Linked DNA regions of Mus musculus. The protein of the gene in region 2 interacts with the protein of the main gene of each other region in a pairwise test. Links are inferred from orthologs where the notes say so. Each region holds a gene or a part of one and is shown on either strand. Other genes may lie near its edges.

Region 1 (4,284 bases), on a different chromosome or scaffold from region 2:
GCATCCGGCTATGTTCATCCTTTTCTAAGTCACTTCTAGCATCCTGCTCTAAACATGTAGGTGCCCTATGCCCTTGCTCTCTACTACTACTACCTGTTTGTATGTCCTGTGTGTCCCTAGCTTTGTAGTGGACCATTCCCCTGGACATTTCTTTTCCTTCTACCCTCCTACTTAACTATATGAAGTTCCCTCTGATAAGTTATTTCTCCACCGGTGAAATGAGCCAATTCAAGCCAGATTAGTGAGTTCAATGACCCAAAGGACCAAGGCCAGAGAAATGACAGTAGGAAGAGAGAAGTTGGGGAGGGGAAAGAGAAAGAGAAAGGTTGCCGGTAGAGGGAGAGACCAAAACCTCTGGATTACTTAGGGAAGAGCCTCAGGGGGGAAGGTCAGACCAGCACCTGGGCTGTAAAGTTTAAGGGTCAGGGTATGTTCGATAAGGGCTGAGGGATGCTGGAAGAATCTGGAGACCCGGTCTGCTTTGATATGTAAAATACGCACTTCAGTTCCTTCCCAGGTTTCCCTGAAGTAAGTTCAGTGACCAGTGTTCTTGGAGAACAAGGCAGGGGTTTCGTGGTCCCTGGTTTCCCCGTCCGAAACCAAATACTCTCCTCCCCCCCCATCCCCCCACCAGAAAAGTCTTCCATGGACACGGTACTTTGCCCATTGAAATTGGGAGTCAGGAGTCACAATAATAGATACCTTGGCAATAGTATACCAGCTCTATCCAGTGGTGAGCTTGGACCATCACCATTCTTAAATCCAAGGTTGCTGTCGAGTTTGGGTATTGGATTTAGAGGGCTGTCTCCTGAGAGTGAAAAGAAAACTGGGGCTCTTGAGAAATCTATTTGCCCGCAGGCTTGTCCCACATGGCAGAATCAGCACCCCCAAAGAATTGAGGATTTACCACATGAAAATTTTCGAGAGACACTTCAGCAATACCCCCAAATGGCAAGATTTTAAAACCGTCTCTGGGCCAAGTGTGATAGCACATACGTTTAAGCCCAGTACTAGGGAGGCAGAGAGGCCCGCGGATTTCTGTGAATTCAGGGCTACACCATGAGACTAACAATAAAACCACCTTCAGAGTGAACGTGCAGCGAAATCGAGTCCCACAAATGCCAAGGGAAAGCTCTCATAGCTAAGGTTTTCCATACTAGAACTATTTTTGAAGATTAGTTTCGCAGACCCGGCTTCAGAAAGCTGTGTAGAACAGAGCACCGCACGGTGTGAGGTCGTGATAGTTATGAGACCTGCAGTCAGGGACTCCCGGGGACCTCTACTACTATCCCTAGGAATCCAGAGGAAAGGAAAGGACTTTTTTTTTTTTTTTTTTTTTTTTTTGCAAAGCCTAAACCGACCGTTTAGTGCAACCTGTGGCACGGGGTTGTGGCGCCCGCTGATAGCGTCATCTTGCTGAGCCCTAGCTTTGGTTTCCCTGACAACCGGCGCGGTCCCGCCGGCGGCGGCTAGGCCGATGCTCGCCCGGCGGCCGCGGGACCCGCTGCAGGCGCTGAGGCGCCGCGGGCAGGAGCTGAAGCTGCAGGTAGGTCCGGGGTAGAGGGTCCCACATCCCAGCTCCTCACCGGGAGCCAAGCGCCGGGTTCTAACCCGGGGCCCCCGCCGTAGATAAAACCTCCAGAAAGCCTTGCGGGTCAACTAAGAATTCGGTCTAACGACTCACCAACCCTCAACACTCCTCATCCCTCAGGCCCTTGTCTAAACTAGCCAGACCCACCCAGCCCAGCGCCCCTCTCCTTTGAAATTCATCACTTTCTCAAAGTGTAACAGGTGTCAACGTATAGTCTTAATAAACTAACCAAGGACAGATTAGTAATTTCAGAAAAGTTAATTTCAAAGATGATCAAACACAAAAGATCACAAAGATTGTAAGTCACAACGCACAGTGCATGGAAGACGTGATGAAACAGGCGATGTATAAGCTATAGTGTATGAGCTACAGCATTTCTGGACAGCAGTTTGACAAGATATAGCAAACATTGATCCTCCTAGGCTGGTTGATACATTTCCAGGAATCTACCACTTGTAATAATTTTCAATTTGGGCAGAGATGCTTATTATAATAAAAGAAACTGGATATGAATAAGTGATCAATATTAGAGGGTGGATAAACTAACCATAAATTTATTATTGTTCCATAGGGCTCCTCAGTTCTTGTCTTGAGGAAAGAGTCTTAGTGGCAGGATACAAAACTTAAAACAGAAGTTTATATAGCAAAGCAAAGCGTACCCTCCAGAGAGACAGGAGTGGGCTGCAGGAGCCGGAGGAGCCTGGGAGGTCTCCCAATGTACATTTTAAACAAGTTTTAATCGATATTGACATGAGTGTGTATCCCTCTGTTGGTGATCTTGAAGTACCCATGTATGGGGACAGCAAATGTCAAAATTACAACGTAAGCAATATAATGAAGTGGAGTCTTTTGAGGATGCAGCCCTTTTATACAAGTGTGACAACTGAGTGTTCTTGCCTCCTTAGTTCTAACAGGAACAATGTAACTTCAGCTTCAAGAGTGTTTAACCACAAAGGACTGTCAGGAGACACAGCTACCAAGACAGGGAGGTGGTTTTCCTAGGTGATGTCATTTGTAATTCCTTACCTACCAGTATCATCTGTTGGGATCTGATGGTACTATGAAGAGATTTTTGCTAGAGCTTTTGGTGTTAGGGGGTAAAGAATTGTGGTAAGACATCAAGTTAGAAAAGGCGTGTAAGGACGTGGCTCCGTGGTTGAGAGCACTGGCTTCTCTTCCAGAGGTCACTAGTACAGTTCCCAGCACCCACATGGTGGCTCATAGTTGTCTAACTCCTGGGGCCCTGATGCCTGATTCTGGCCTCCAGGCACCAGGCCAGCATGTGATGCACAGACATGCAGGCAAGCAAAGTATTCATATACATATAAAAGAATGCAAAGTGCAATACATACTATTTCAATAATATTTGTTTTACATCGTGTATATAAAAAGATGTAGGGGGAAATCAGGGCGGGCTAGAGTGTACAGCAAACTGCAAATGATTCTTGTTTGCCTTTATGTGTTTTTTTTTTCTCAAGACACTGAATTCCTATTACTCTTAAGCATAGCCACAGGGAAAATTATGTAATTATAATCTCAAAAAAAAAGAGGTAACAAATAGCCGTTACTGGATTGTTCATTTGTTTTTCTGAAATTCTTTTTTTTTTCCATTTTTTATTAGGTATTTAGCTCATTTACATTTCCAATGCTATACCAAAAGTTCCCCATACCCACCCACCCCCACTCCCCTACCCACCCACTCCCCCTTTTTGGCCCTGGCGTTCCCCTGTACTGGGGCATATAAAGTTTGCAAGTCCAATGGGCCTCTCTTTGCAGTGATGGCCGACTAGGCCATCTTTTGATACATATGCAGCTAGAGACAAGAGCTCCGGGGTACTGCTTAGTTCATATTGTTGTTCCACCTATAGGGTTGCAGTTCCCTTTAGTTCCTTGGGTGCTTTCTCTAGTTCCTCCATTGGGGGCCCTGTGATCCATTCAATAGCTGACTGTGTTTTCTGAAATTCTTAATTTATCTTAGACAGGCTCCAACTATGTGGCTCTGACTAGTCTTGCACTTAATAAGTGGACCAGTTTGGCCTTGAGCTCACAGAGATCCTCCTGCATGCTGGCATTAAAGGTATGGACCACCATGCCCAGCTAGTTCACTTTTTAAATATGTGATCTAGCACCACATATTTTTTTCCACTAAATAACTTATTTAATAATCTTTAACAGATTAAGAGATTTCCTAGGCCAGGCATGGTGGCACAACGCCTTTAATCCCAGCACTTGGGAGGCAGAGGCCAGCTTGGTCTACAGAGTGAGTTCCAGGACAGCCAGGGCTATACAGAGAAACCCTGTCTCGAAAAACAGAGAGAGAGAGAGAGAGAGAGAGAGAGAGAGAGAGAGAGAGAGAGAGAGAGATGTTTATATGTTATCCAGTTTTGGATTTTTGTTTTAAAAATACAAAGTTTTGTGTTTTCATCATAAATAAGTGATACTTTTGAGACGCTAGATATGATTAACCTGGATTTAAATCATTAAATATGCTTACTTGTATCCAAACATCATCCTTAAATATGTACTGTTTCTACTATTGAGGTGGTGGGATCTAGGGGAGTGGAGCCAATCTATGAGGTGGACGACAGAGGGGAGGCGCAGAGGCAGGAGAGACAGAGTGGGTCAGTGAGGGAAAGTGGGCATAGAGTTAATTCTGGGTGACAGTGATTGGTCAGTCCCACTGTCAGGACTGT
Region 2 (3,558 bases):
TAGGCAGATTTGAATGATATCAGAGTTGCTGCTCCTATGCTTAGGAACAGGGCAGTGGGGTTTTCCTGAGCACAGTAAGCCCTAGAGTAGCTGAGTAGGTCTGACACTCCAGATTGCTACCAACTAACTAGCAAGCAAGAAGCACATGCATGGTGGATGCACTGGTCCCAGGGCAGTGGAGTGGAGTAGCAAGAGCTTTCAATATGCTTCTTAGAATTGCCTGTTCTTTCTGGAATTTTTTATTTAATAGTTTTGTGCCATGGTTGACCATAGGTAACTAATGAAAGCCATGGAAAGTGGAACCATGAATGATGGGCAGGTGGCTGTCCTGAGAGAATGTAAGACACTGACCTCCCATTACAGAGGCAGGGCACCCCACCCGGAGCTTGGTGTGGTTTTTCCTTCTGCTCAAGTTTTTACTGGAGTAATAAAAACATTTTGTCCTCTCCAGTCTTGTGCAAGGTCTATTGTTCTATGCATGTTGTGACGTTTTCATCAGTTCTTGATTCTTTTATGAAGATGATCACATGGTCTGCAGATGATGAGATATGTGTATTCCTCTGCCACCCATCATTTTTTTCCTCTGGAAGAATTGCAATACCCTGGACACAAGGGTCTGAACCTTGGCGCTGGAGTGGGAAGAACACCTTGCTGCTCAGGCTAAGGGACTTTCTCCCCACATCTGAGTTTCTCCATTCGTTCTTTTTTTTAATCCTCAGTGTTTTTATCTTAAACTGTGGCCGGGCAGTGGTGGCACACACCTTTAATCCCAGCACTCCGGAGGCAGAGGCAGGTGGATCTCTGTGAATTTGAGGCCAGCCTGGTCTATAAAGCAAGTTCTAGGATAGCCAAGGCCGTACAAAGAAACCCTGTCTTGAAAAATAAAGGGAGAGAAAGAGACAGAGAAAGGAAGAAAGAAGAAAATAAAGGAAACTGGGTAGTTTTTTTGTTTTTTTGTTTTTTGTTTTGTCAGTTTGTTTCTCAACTCTACTGAACTGTGTTCATTGGCAGCCTAGTAGATGAATTGCCATATTCTTTTTTTTTTTTCCATTTTTTATTAGGTATTTAGCTCATTTACATTTCCAATGCTATACCAAAAGTCCCCCATACCCACCCACTCCCCCTTTTTGGCCCTGGCGTTCCCCTGTACTGGGGCAGATAAAGTTTGCGTGTCCAATGGGCCTCTCTTTCCAGTGATGGCCGACTAGGCCATCTTTTGATGAATTGCCATATTCTTAACCTGTCACATGACTTCAGACCTCAGGAATATTTTAAAGATTTTATTTTATTTAAAAATGTGTGGTGTGTATGCTGTGTCTGCATATATGTGTGAGTATAGGTGCCTAAAGAGTCCAGAAGAGTGTGTTGGATCAGAGTCCAGAAGAGTGTGTTGGGTCAGAGTCCAGAAGAGTGTGTTGGGTCAGAGTCCAGAAGAGTGTGTTGGGTCAGAGTCCAGAAGAGTGTGTTGGATCAGAGTCCAGAAGAGTGTGTTGGATCAGAGTCCAGAAGAGTGTGTTGGGTCAGAGTCCAGAAGAGTGTGTTGGGTCAGAGTCCAGAAGAGTGTGTTGGGTCAGAGTCCAGAAGAGTGTGTTGGGTCAGAGTCCAGAAGAGTGTGTTGGGTCAGAGTCCAGAAGAGTGTGTTGGGTCAGAGTCCGTTAGAGAGTGTTGGGTCCCCTGGACCTGGGCTGTGAGCATCCACTGTTAATGCTGGAGACCAACGTCAGCTCCTCCGCCATAGCAGGAGGCTCCCTCTTACCTGCTGAGCCACCTCTCCAGGGATGGTTTTTAGTAACACATTGAGGCCATCTCTGAAGTGCTGGTGGCAGGTGCTGCCTTTGCACATTGGAGGGGCCCCAGCTCAGCTGAAAGATTGACTGGGGTCAACTCCACTTTGCTCCTGATGATGGACAGGACAAAGGTCCCCTGCTATTGCCAGATGTGACCTAGTCCCCTTTGAAAGCCAAAACTGGTGCTAACTGATTTCTAGAGTGGGTGGAGCTGGTGAGATCTGTGCCCGTCCTCCTACCTTCATGACCACCTGTGTCTTCTCTCCCCAGAACGTGCTGGCCAAAGCCCTCTATGACAATGTTGCTGAATCCCCGGATGAGCTCTCCTTCCGAAAGGGTGACATCATGACAGTGCTCGAGCGGGACACTCAGGGCCTGGATGGCTGGTGGCTCTGCTCACTGCATGGGCGCCAGGGCATTGTGCCTGGTAACCGCCTCAAGATTCTGGTTGGCATGTATGATAAGAAGCCAGTAGGACCTGGACCAGGCCCACCTGCCACCCCACCCCAGCCCCAGCCCAGCCTTCCCCAGGGCGTCCATGCTCCGGTACCTCCAGCTTCCCAGTACAGTCCCATGCTCCCCACTGCGTACCAGCCCCAGTCTGACAATGTGTACCTGGTACCCACTCCCAGCAAGACTCAGCAAGGTCTCTACCAAGCCCCTGGGCCCAACCCACAGTTCCAGTCACCCCCAGCCAAACAGACGTCCACATTCTCCAAGCAAACACCTCATCACTCATTTCCCAGCCCAGCCACGGACCTTTACCAGGTGCCCCCAGGGCCTGGAAGTCCAGCCCAGGACATTTATCAGGTGCCACCTTCCGCTGGCATAGGGCATGACATCTACCAAGTTCCTCCATCTCTGGACACTCGCGGATGGGAGGGAACAAAGCCACCGGCAAAGGTAAGGCCAACCTGGTAGAGCTGGAACCCCCTGGGGTCAGCCTAGGGACCTGGCCACCACAGTGCCCACACTCTAGTATCATTATGTATTTGGTCTGAGGTCCAGGAGGGAGGTATCTGGACAAATGTCTCCATTTATTTGATGCAGGTGGGTGAGTAGGGACACCAAGGTGGCCATAGAGGAGGAGGAAGTCTTCAGTAGGCTGCCCTGAAATGGAAAAGGTTAGTCACAGGCTACAAGACAGTCTCTCTCAGGGCCTGATAGCTGAACCTGAAGGGGAGGAGCTCGGGAGGAGGAGCCTGCACAGCCACATTGAGGTCAGCTTACTCTGGCGTGAGTGGAAATATGATGTGAACATAAAGCCTGTGGGTGGGCCAGGAAAAGCCTCAGCATGACAGCACAGGGAGAGCTGAGAAGAGCAAGGCATCTCCTCTTGGAAATTGCATCAGAGGCTGGGACCAGAGAGACTGCCCACTTCCTAAGGAGCTGTCTTGAGGGTAGTTATGTCACTCGGTTGCCTTTGTCCCACCCAGCTGCCTGGGAGGCGAGGTGTGAACCTTGTCTGGTGTATGTCACTTAAAGGGACTAAATGAGAACCGAGGATCATGCCCCAGAGGCTCTGGTAGAGGCAGCCGACTGTGGTGGGCACAGCAGCACATGCTCAGCTAAGGCAGTTTCGTGTTCTGATGATGTCTCGTCCAGAGCCACCTATGTCTGCTGAGACATTGGCCTCGTGCATGCTCAGTTATGGCACTGAGCCTTTGTCTTCAAAGCCACAGAGGGCCAAGGTGAAAACTTAACTGATACCAGCTAGAAAGCAGGTAGTATCGCCCCATGCCTGCCCACAGAGACGCTCGGCATCTAACTG

What was found.
Region 1: the proteins of Bcar1 (region 2) and Nphp1 interact in a two-hybrid assay, tested with the Homo sapiens proteins (2 studies listed by BioGRID). The link is inferred for Mus musculus from reciprocal best matches to the Homo sapiens genes BCAR1 and NPHP1.

Annotation. Positions count from the first base shown.
Region 1 is NC_000068.7:127,786,048-127,790,331, reverse strand, and holds the start of Nphp1 (nephrocystin-1), read left to right. Parts: upstream 1-1,440; 5' UTR 1,441-1,477; coding exon 1,478-1,546; intron 1,547-4,284. UniProt on the Homo sapiens protein: Together with BCAR1 it may play a role in the control of epithelial cell polarity. Involved in the organization of apical junctions in kidney cells together with NPHP4 and RPGRIP1L/NPHP8. Does not seem to be strictly required for ciliogenesis.
Region 2 is NC_000074.6:111,719,831-111,723,388, reverse strand, and holds part of Bcar1 (breast cancer anti-estrogen resistance protein 1), read left to right. Parts: intron 1-2,057; coding exon 2,058-2,690; intron 2,691-3,558. UniProt on the Homo sapiens protein: Docking protein which plays a central coordinating role for tyrosine kinase-based signaling related to cell adhesion. Implicated in induction of cell migration and cell branching. Involved in the BCAR3-mediated inhibition of TGFB signaling.